Drosophila melanogaster: one gene and its partners. The protein of the gene in region 3 interacts with the protein of the main gene of each other region in a pairwise test. Each region holds a gene or a part of one and is shown on either strand. Other genes may lie near its edges.

Region 1 (3,756 bases), on a different chromosome or scaffold from region 3:
ACTTATATTGAGCCGTTTACAGGATTTCTCAATTAAAAGCGACATTTAAATTAGATTAAAAATGGCAATGTATAATTTGTTTCAAAGAATAACTATGTATGCCACAGGCCACACACACTAACCTGCTCGCATTTTCTCACACCCTTTGAATCCTTCTTAATCTCCAGTCGGAGAGCAAACAAAAAGCAAAAGCAATCTTTCCTTTGTGCCACGTCTCGAAAGTCTGAAGAGATCCTTGCCAGCACAGCCTATTTGCTGCTGTTTGCTCCTTTTGAGGACCTTTGCTTTTTCGAGGGTAAACGCTGCAGTGCCAGAGGTGGAGAACTTTGCAAGACTGAATAAAAGTCGGCCTAAAGTCTTATTGTTTTCTGGTTTTTATCTGAAAGCTGCTGCTGCTGCTGCCTCAGCTCTGTCATTCGAGGTCCTGTGAAGTTGGCGATTATTGTTGCAAACTTAGTTGACAACTTGCCTGCTCGTCCTGCCATCTGCACCGCCCACTTATCGCCACCACCGCCCACCCCAAGGCCATGCAGATGATGGGCCGCCAAGCGTAATAAGGCCGAAGCCCAGGGAAAGAGGAAGTCTAGTGAAAATAAACAGTCGGACAGCCAAGTTGGGCATAGTTGAGCTTCTCGGCATCTCAGCTTCGCAGTCTTGCAGTTTCCCAGTTTCCCACTCTCACAGTTTTTCAGTTTCCCAGTTCATAGTTTGCCTGTTGTCTCCCCATTGTCCTGGCCATTCTTTATTTTTCAGTCCTTCCACTCCGGCTCTATATTATTATTATGTCTTGGCCCGGACTGCACAAAGTTTTGCCATTCTCTAACGACTTTGAATTTTTAATAATACCCCGCTGGAGCTTAACAATTTTGCCATCGTTCGGTTGTAGCGGCTAAGCTTTGTTACCAATTTAATGCATTTCTTGGTTGACGGAAATTGAATATCCGTTAAGATATATTAACAATTTATGCCGCCCTGATTGCCGACCCCCAATGCGGGTGCGGAATGAGGAGATCTATGCCTTTTTTGCAGTAAAATTGAAAACGAAACGAAACGGAACCAAAGCACACAGATACTATACACGAACGAACGGTAGCTGTGGCAAGAGAGCAGTCATCATCAGGGCCATAATGAGCAAGTCAATAGCCGGGCGGGCCAGCAGCAAAGGGAAAAGTCGAGGGGAAAGCCAGGCAATCGATGACGGAGCAAGGAAAATGCCGGCTGCCAGCAGTCATGCAGCGACGTGCGATAAAAAGCAGATTGCAATTTGTTTTACTGATTTCCATGCTTTTGGCTTTATTTGCACGACGGAAACTTTCATTAACATCAAACAGAAACTGAAATTGAAGCAGTAATGGCATCGCCAGCACTCCAAAGGATACAGCCACGGGGAAAAGCTGGAAAAGCCGATCGAAATGCACTTAAATCATGGCAAGAATGAGATCTACGGCATGCTTAAGTGGCATTATATGTACATACATATGCGCATATACGAGAATGCCATTATTAAGTTGCATCCTTCATTTGCTCAATTTGGCCAGTTGACCAGCTGGCCATTTAATTGATACGGCAAAAGGTCAGGGTGATGGTAGACCCACTTGACACCTCACCAAATTCCAGAATTCTTTGGGCAAACATTTGAGCAACATAAATGCACAAGTCCTACCAACCAATTAGTTGGCAAATAATGGAGAGAAATGACTTTTCATCTCTCGACCGCAAACAAAGTCCTTTTGTATTCCACCCAGGACCTCCTGTTCTGAAATTTATGCACGGACTTGGGCCTGCAAGGATCTCGAGGAGTGGCGGACGACTCTTGTTTTGTGTTCCAAGTAATTTGAACAAATTTGCGAGACATTTTGTGGCCTCCGAGCAAATATTTCAGGCCAATGCTAACCACCCCATCATCATCATCATGGCTTGGGCAGGCCTTTTGCGGACAAAGGCCAATTAACTTAAATAATTAGCCAGAAGTTTTCGCCATCGGAGATGAATCTCAGCCTACGAGATGCTCAAGTAATTTCAATAAAATGTTATCATTCGGTTGCTGTCGAGTTGCCAGGGAAAATCCAATCAATTATCGCCCAAGGGAAGCAAATTCGTACAGAAAGTTAAAGGCCCAGGGAAATGGGAAACAAGCTGCGCCGCCAACCACAAAGAGTTGAAGTTGACGAGGAGGAGGTGAGATCCGACCGACCCCAGAAGAAGCCACCATCGTCATGGCCCTTCTGGCGCCTGGTCTACTGGCTGGGAGTCCTCATCATGGTCATCGGCATCGGTGTGGGCATGTACTTCACCCTCAAGTCGGACTTCGGTGAGTGCTCCTCCTACGACGTCCGTTGCGATTGAGTGCTCCTGGCGATATAGAAACTTCCACGGAAATGGCGGAATTCATTACCCATTGAACTTCAACTAATTTGAAGCAGCTTGGCCTGCGAAAGCAATTGTTCTACATTTAGCGAGAGTAAGTATGCCAGCAGATATTAAAGAAAACTATTTAAAATTATTTCCCAAATTAGATTTAATTAAAACTTATACACCAGTTATGTTTTCTTGTCGAAACATCAGTTTGATCTTTTTACTTTTTATCATCGCAGTCTACATTTGCCTGTTTGTTTTATATATACTCCACAGAGTTGGTGAAGATAATTAATATTGGGTTTGTAATATTATTTTTCATTTGCCTTGCAGTATAAACCAGCTTATCTTTTCGCAGATTCATATGTAAAGTTATTCATTTGTCTGTTCTCCTGTTTGAATTGTGATATGCTAAGCTTGGTTATATCACTATCAACTTACGTGCAGTCCAATACTTGTCATACATGAATTCTAGCAGCTGGATCTTAATTAAAGCCGGATGAAACAACCCACCCCACACTAGACCGCCTCCTTTATTGTTAACAATTACAAAAGCAAGGCCGAAGCCGCGCAATCTCCAGCAACACATGCAGATACATTTGTGCATGTAGACGTGTGTATTTGTGATGCTATTCAAACTTATTGGAGCGCTTCCTTTTGATGGCGTTCTGGTTGACTCTTCAATGGCGAAACACTTTTTAGTTGAATGAAGCTAGTGAATGCACATATTTTGGGTTGCATATAAAAAATCCTACGATTATTCACTGGCCCTATTTATTTTGGTGTTAATTAACGAAGTGGAGAATGGCATTCATTGATAAAAGTGTACAACGATTTTTATTTCACATATTTATGCTATTGCTGTAATTAAAATAACAATTTGAATTAAAACTCTAATTTTAATAAATAAACTAAAATTGCACACTTATGACGACACATTTTATTTAAATTACCAGCTTAGGAAGTTGATTGCTTCTACTAAACGAGACAAAAGTTATTTATTTCGGTGCGTTGGGGGTTTATCTTAAAACGACTTCTTATGAGAGGGGCCATCAGTCAAGGTCAAGCTTAACAAAGATTTGTCGGCAATTCGAGCTTTTATTTCTTTGACACTTGCCAGACTTCTTTCGTTCGCACACAGCAGGTGAAATATAAATAAACTTTTTAATGAACTTTAAGATTTATTGCCAGCAGCAGCCGCAGCAAGTCAAGTCTGACACTTTGTGGCTTTAAATTTTCGGACGGGAATGTGCTGTTTAGATAAATTATACAGCACAATATATCCCGAAGGCACTGGCTGGCTGACTGAATATTTTGAATGTGAAGAGCACCCTGCCCTGAACTAAATATTCTGCAAATAATTGCACTCGACATCGACTGAATAGACCTAGCCCACAAATA
Region 2 (3,756 bases), on a different chromosome or scaffold from region 3:
CAGTCTGAAGAATTTCAAAGCCATCGTTTGTGAGCTTTTTAAGACAAGCAAGCAGTGCGAAAAGCTTTAGTCATTCAAACATATCACGTATACGTAAGATGAAATGGTCGTTACGTTATTACAATTTTAAAATCGAACAAGCTTCTGTTTCAATTTGTATTTAAAATAAAATTAAAATGGTCTGAGGAAATTACTGGTACGATGGGAAAATATATATGTAATATAAAAATATTTAGGTACTTTCATTAATGGGCAACCTACAATGAATGTTGAAGGTTTTGTTTTAATTCCCATAAAATATGTTCCATTTTTTTATGTATATGTATGTTATGTATATTAAATGTATATAATGCATTTATTTAAATAATTATTGATTTCATCATTGTATGTGTAGCCTCAAATCTAAGGGAAAATATCAATGTCTGAAATCAGGAAATTTAGTATAAGTAAGAGCACCCATCAAAAAGTGTACACAACTTTCACTTCCATTTACAGACTCTGGCGGCGGGTAAACAATCCTTTTGTTGGCCAGCTTTATTTGACTATTGTGATTACATTTCCTTGGTTCCTCTTCGCAGTTGCAACTTTCGTTGTTGCAACTCCGCAAGAGTGCCACGCCCACGCCTTACGCAAAAAGCACAGCGCGCAGCTTTTGTCTGCTTAACAGACAACCGGGCCAACGACAACAGCAGCAACCACAACTAACCTTTCCTAATAAAAAGTGATTGCGACGGCCTTCAGCGGCCGCAAAAGCAAGGCGCCACCCCCCGTGAGCAAAAAAAAAAAAAAAATCGCAAAAAAAAAACACACACATACAGGAAGCGTCCTGCATGGTCCGAGCCAAAAAAAGCTCGGTTACATCAACTCTCTGAGCGGAGAGCTCGCTCTCTCGCTTGGCCAAGCTTTTCATTGAGCACGCACATTGAGGCAGGTGCACGGCATCCTTTGGCGCGAGAGAATGCGACATCCGGAGAGCCGGAGAGCACGACCATTGAGGGTCCTGTTCGGGAGAGCTGACGCCTCTGTGTCTAACTAAACGGAAGAGGCTCAAGGCGTCGCTTGATACTTCCACAGTCATCTCAATTTCAAGACTAGAAGGTTAAATAGATCTTTATTTATATTATGATTCAATTAAATTATTAATTTTATATTTCAAATATTTAAAAAAAAGCCTTATGGTTATGTCCTTAAAATATATTATTTTTAATTTAAGTTATAAGATAGAAAATCTTATATGGAGTTCTTAAATATTATTCATAAAACGTAAGTGGGAACATGTGAATTAGTTAAACAATAAGTCTCTCTGTTAAATAAATACATTTTGTCCTGAATTGGATTACAAAATCTCTTGTTCTTCAAAACACCTCAAAATCAATTGAGGTCTCCATCCTTTTCGGTATGCCGCCCTGAATCGATTTTCGGCAATTCGCGCAAAATACCCGCCACCGACAAATGATTCATCCATCATTTGTGAGCCCACCTGGCTGGAAGTGAAGTAGCGTTACGCGGACTTCTTACCCTGCGAATTGTTGTTGCAAAGCGAGTGGGTCCTAATGTGACTCCTTGCACCAGGACACCCGTTCAACGGGGAGGAAAAACCGGCTTTTTGCAACAAACAACAACACGAAAACAAATAGAATCAAGTGACGCCACATCAGGTGACGTGAAGCTCGGAGAGTCGAGCTTTGAGAGCGACTCAAAGAGGCAATTATGCTGGTTTTTTGGCCCAGCACAGCTGACGCACGTTCACGTGGCTCCTGGCACCAATACACACACGCAGGCGACTCTCACGCTCTCGCACACCAACACACATGCACGAAAGTGAGGCAGCTTTTCTGCTTTTCTACGTTGCCGACTCGCTCGACAATTTCAGTTGGGCGACAGACTCTGGACTCGACAGAAAAACGAGAGCTTGGAAATTTTGTGGTCCGTGATTATTACCTGGAGATCTTTGGTGAAAACTAATGCAAACACTCAGCATCTGCACCTGCACCAAAATCAAATAAAAAAAAAGGATGCTCCCAAATAGATACGTGTGTGTGTGACCCAAAACGGGCAAAGTTGTAACGCAGAAAGCGCAATTTACAAACAAAATGCCAAGTGATTCGATTGTGTGAGAAGTCAGTGGAAAATCCATTAAGCAGCGAAACGACAGACGTCAGTCTTCAATCAAATGTAGCGCCAAAAGTCCAGGTGAGAATGCGACAAGTCCTGGAGAAATCCTGCAGGACGTAACGAAAACACGGGCCAAGCCAGGCCAGGCGAAAAACAATTCCGATTGCAGCATGCAGCGGGCGCAGCCAATCAGCGAATGGCGTTCTCTGACATTGGCTGCCTCAAACGGTGGCACGTTGTTGTTCTTGCCCTGCTCCTCCAGCTCGTCCTGCTCGTCCTGTAGCCAGTGGCTCGTATCAAGCTTAAATGTCAGGGGCATGTGCACCCAGCACCCAGCTGCCGAGGGAATTAGGAGCACCCTTTCCCGATCCACTTTTTCTGCGCCTTTTCCTCGGCTGAATTTTAAAATTATCACTTTCGCCCATCGCACAGCGTCGACTTGCAGCCGCAAAAGTTTAAAAACAATTTGAATAGGTATTTATTTGGGTGTGTTTTTCTCGTTTTGTTTCATAGAAGTTCCATGAGAATGTATTTCGTTTCCTCTTTCCATTGTAATTTACTTTGCAAAACTTCCCCACACAGGATCAAAACAAAGAAATTAAACAATTTTTATTTCAGAACATTTTTAAAAGATACATTCATGAGAAAATATTAAAGAAAAACAAATTAGCATACATTTATTTTATATTTCCAATTAGGCTTTAAATATAACATAAAATATATAATTTTGCTTTTGTTAGTTTTCAACAAAAGTACAATAAATGCATATGGAATTCATAATGAATATATAAAAAATATATGTATATCATATATGTTTTTGAAGAACAGCATATAATTCCGTGATCACGTTTTTGTAATCATTAAATACAACCACAGACTAGTAACACACGTTTCTGTTTCATATTCTGAAACCGCAAAAAATAACCACAAAGGTTTCGAATTAGTTTAATAACCATGTTACTTTTTAGACTCAAACGTATTTGTAAATTGTTTGCTGCACGCGTTTCTCAGTCGCCGGCTGCCGACCAAAAACAAAACAAATTAAAGTACATAAAACGTGAAATTATAGGGAAGCCTGTGTCTGTCCCGCACTCACATCCCCTTCTCTGCACGCTTGAATGGCCACCGATAAACCCGCTCAAAAGTCCTGGACAGGTTAGCACGCGACTTCTGGCTGATTATGCCTAATAACTGTGAGCCAAATTCGAGACGCAACAAAGACGAACCAAGAATGCCGAAAACTTTTAATGAGATTTTTGCTCAAATTTTGGTTTGCCTTCCGCCTGATGGGGCATATTAGGCATTATGGGCAGTTTGCTATTTAAACTATTTAAATTGCTGAAACATATGAAAAGTTGGGCTTTAATCAATACATATTGTGGTATCAAGCGTTGAAAGAAAATTGATATAAAACATGTACACATTTTATAATGAATTTTTATATTTTTGTCATTCTATAAAATTAAATTTACATAACTTTACACATATTTTTTTAAGACAGACTTAACTTGACTGAAAATAGTTGTCTATTTCTTTATGGTTCAACAAATTGCAATATCATAATTTCTGCTAAAGAAAAGGTATTTAAAATTCCATATACTTTCAATTGAAAAACACCACCGTTTGGTTTTTTTTTTCCGG
Region 3 (3,756 bases):
TGCTTTGAGCTTTGCTTCTCTAGTTTCTTCAAATTTAAAAAACATTCTTCTTACGCTGATATCGAAGGTTCCTCTAATGAACGCTTTTGATTTTGTTACGCGCGTTTGGGCTTTTCAAGAGGCTCATCGTCACTGGAGTAGTCGGATGCGGGACTGTGAGCAACCTTTTTCCCCCTAGGAGGTTCTTCATCACTGGACTCGTCCAACAGGTGTGTTCCAGCACCGATCAATACATTGGCGATCTTTTCTGTTCGGGCGGAGATTGCAACAGGATCCTCTGTTGAAGTGGACAGCACGGCAGCCGTGATAAGCGTCGACGTGGAGGGCGCGTCCAGTTCAGGTTCTAAAATGCCAAAAATCAGAATATGGGCTTAACCAATGACGATCTTTCCTACCCTGCTCATTGAGCAAGCCATGATTGGCCTCCCGCCGCTTGGTCACTACAACTGCCGTAATATAGAAGGTGAAAATGGGCAGCAGGACAACTACGCCAACGGCGATGAGAAAATTGGTCAGCTTCACCTCGCGTTGACAGCATTTCAGCGTTTTCGACCAATTCAGACGAGTCCGGTTCATCTAAGCAAAAGTAAAGGTGTAAAAATAGGCAAATGTAAATATAAATTTTTAAACTTACATTGTCCTGCAGATCGAAGCACACACTTCCACCGACTTTCTTTTCCATGCTAAGGTAGAAATCATTTAGACTCACGTAATCATTTTTGCACTTGAAGCAAACTAAATCCGAACTAGCAGATTCTAAGCAATTTTGCAACTTTGTTGAGTTATCGCTGTATACAATCCAAAAATTATCCCTGAAGCAATCTGGAAAGTAGGAATAGATCAGTGATTCCCAAATGAACAAAGTACTGATGCACACTTTCGCAGTTGGCCTTTTGCCACAGGCTAGTTAGGATTCCTTGGGTGGTAGCCACTATATTGATCCTGTCCGAGTTCAGATAACGCTTGGAACAGTTGGCGTTCGCAATTAGGTTTCCGTAATCATTGGTGAGATTGCGGTAGAGATCGACGCAGCCCTCACACAAATTCACGGGCACTGATTTTGTGGTGGCGCAGTAGATGAACTTGCTCTGTGCATCGCCAAGATCGGCGAGCAATTTCTCGCAGGAATGTTTCTTCCCGGCCAGCAGCATGTTAAACTGTCCACTTAGAGTTAGGATAAGCCCCAAGAGTGCAATGTAACTCCGCATCTTTTGGTGTGCTTTGCTCTTCGCCTACTTGAACGAGATGAAGGAGGAAACCAGGAGGGCGAGAAGCCGGCGAATCCCCTGGTGCTTCTGTTTGTTGATACGGGTGCTCCCTTTTCGCACACCCAAGTTCTTCTATGAAATATATTCTTTCTGGAGAGGAGTGTCGGGTGAGTTGCTGTTGGCATTACTAACGAAACTCACATTCTTACCCTCTGCACACTAAACAATATCACAATTTAACAAATACTTTTATAAAATCATATATTTTTGTATTGTATTTCGGCTGGAGACATCATCCATCAATAGTTCTGCATGCATTCAGTTACCTGCACACCAAATTGTTGTCCAATTGCAATAGAAGCAATTATTTGGTGTAATTTATAAACAAAACAATAGCAATCATTTAGATGTCCAAAAATATCGGGCCTTTGACACTTCGACTTTTCTTAGTGAGGAATCGCTATGAAAGCGTGGAACATCTGGCAACGCTAAGAGGTTGGCGCGAATTTTCAAATTAACTTTTACAGTAATTGCCAGTTTTCTCACCGAAATTGTAATTGTAAAATCAATTGTCATTGATTTATTTTAATTCCCTAACCAAATTCCTCTTTTCCCCATTATGAAGATCAGCTGCTGTAAGTATCATATCAAAAATAGATCACGAAGTTTACTTTAAAATTGCACGTTTCATTTAGGCAACTGCTGATCAAACTCTGAGCATTGTTTATCATTTATTTGCGAAAAATCTGTAAACAACCCTTCACAATGAGTATATTTCAATGAAAGGAAGTTAAGTGTGTTACATAAATAGATGCAAAAAAAGCGGGGCAGTAGTAATGCTAAAATACATCGTTTTGGATATGAATGACCCAAAACAACCCCAACTTGGGGTTTTTCCATTATCAATCGAGTTCCGTATGATCAGTAAAATATATAAAAATTTTTATCCATAGATAAGAAAGGGTTGTCTATTTATTACTCCATGCACATGAATAGACTCTTCTTACATGTACATCTTTTTTTAGCATCCTTCGCACCAGCATTTTAGACTGGGGCTGCAGTGTCCACTGGTTCGCCCTTCCCTCTGGCAGATATCTACGCACTTCTTCCTGTGCCACACAGCACAGGAACCCCTATATCTTCCGGAAAGGCAGTCGGCATGTGATTCTTCCGCTCCCAGGAAAATTATCATCAAGACAGCGGACAGGACAATTAGGAACTTGATTTCCATAGTTTCGGTAGGAGGTCTGGTAACTTAGTAATTGTTGAAATGCAATCCTCAAGAAATTGATCGCTCTCAGCTCAGAATAAGCGCTTAAATACGTTCCGATCTGTAAGTTTTACACTCAGTACGACGACGCTGTGGTGAAATTTATCTCGTGGAGATAAAAATATTTACCCAGACTTTTCGGCTGCCTTTACAATTTCACCACGTGCCGAATATAACAATGCATTGATCTGAACAATAAATATTGGTTCTTGACTTGATTTTATTTTAAATAATTGTGAATGTTTAGGGAATTGAATTTTATGATTGATACATAATCATTCTGGGTCTATAGAAGTTGTCCAATTTCGGTAGAAATTCAGCATCCTTCGCACCAGCATTGCAGCCTGGCACTGCAGTGACCACTCACTCGTCCTCGTCCCTCCTCTCGGCAAACCCGCCTGCATGTCTCGTTGTCCCAGACGGCACAGGGACCTCTGTACCTTCCGGAAAGGCAGTCGGCATCGGCTTCCTTGGCGCCCAGGATGACCATCATCAGCAGAGCGAGGAAGGTGAACAGGAACTTGATTTGCATCATTTTCAGTAGTTTTCGTGGTGATTGTTTTCTTTGATGTACTAATCAATTCAGATTCGGATCGAATTTGTTTTCAAGTGCTTTCGACGAGCTTATATAGGGCTGGACTAGTCGATGTCGCTGCCAGCGTCGTTCGATTTTATTTATTGATACTACCTTTTGTCTGGATAAATATACAATACACACAATATAATTGTAAGAACGTCTCTCAATCTAGGTCCCATGAATGGTTCAAGGAAAAGCAAACAATAAATGGCGTAATGCACTTAATTATCACAACCAAAACAACAGGATAGTGATATTTGCTACTTTGTGCTTATTGCCTAAAGCACATATATTTTCGAATGCAATTCTATAAAGTTTAAATTCCAACGGAGAGCGCAAAATTCGATATAAGCATCGATAACTGCACCTAGAAGTGTGACCATGTTTCGCGAACCTCAAATACCATGACTTAATTTTCAAATTCCACTGAGAACCGGATCGGCTATTTTGAATAGCCAGTTTTTCTCTGATCGGCGATTTGACAAGACGTGCGCGCGGACTGAAAATTGGATCCCAAAACCGCTAACTGAAAAATAAATAAAGCCGTGCAAAAGAAATAAAAAGTAAAGAAACAACAAGCGGGCCAATAAGTAAAACGTAATCAGCGTTTCAATTCTCTCTTTTATTTGCGCTCTCGCTCTCTTAAGCCGCTCACATTGCACATTGTTGTTGTTATGCTCGTTGTAGTTTTTGTGCTAATT

The links.
Region 1: the proteins of CG14969 (region 3) and CG17580 interact in a two-hybrid assay, tested with the Drosophila melanogaster proteins (one large-scale study listed by BioGRID).
Region 2: the proteins of CG14969 (region 3) and hbt interact in a two-hybrid assay, tested with the Drosophila melanogaster proteins (one large-scale study listed by BioGRID).

The regions. Positions count from the first base shown.
Region 1 is NT_033778.4:12,804,574-12,808,329, forward strand, and holds CG17580 (uncharacterized protein), read left to right. Parts: upstream 1-2,040; 5' UTR 2,041-2,124; coding exon 2,125-2,346; 3' UTR 2,347-2,461; intron 2,462-2,516; 3' UTR 2,517-2,656; intron 2,657-2,713; 3' UTR 2,714-3,238; downstream 3,239-3,756.
Region 2 is NT_033779.5:13,329,236-13,332,991, reverse strand, and holds the start of hbt (headbutt), read left to right. Parts: upstream 1-1,870; 5' UTR 1,871-2,193; intron 2,194-3,756.
Region 3 is NT_037436.4:3,333,350-3,337,105, forward strand, and holds the start of CG14969 (uncharacterized protein), read right to left. Parts: upstream 1,630-3,756; 5' UTR 1,418-1,629; intron 1,359-1,417; 5' UTR 1,209-1,358; coding exon 878-1,208; intron 823-877; coding exon 635-822; intron 577-634; coding exon 396-576; intron 344-395; coding exon 96-343; 3' UTR 1-95. Other genes in the region: Drsl1 (Drosomycin-like 1), read right to left, coding at 2,230-2,439; Drsl6 (Drosomycin-like 6), read right to left, coding at 2,795-3,013.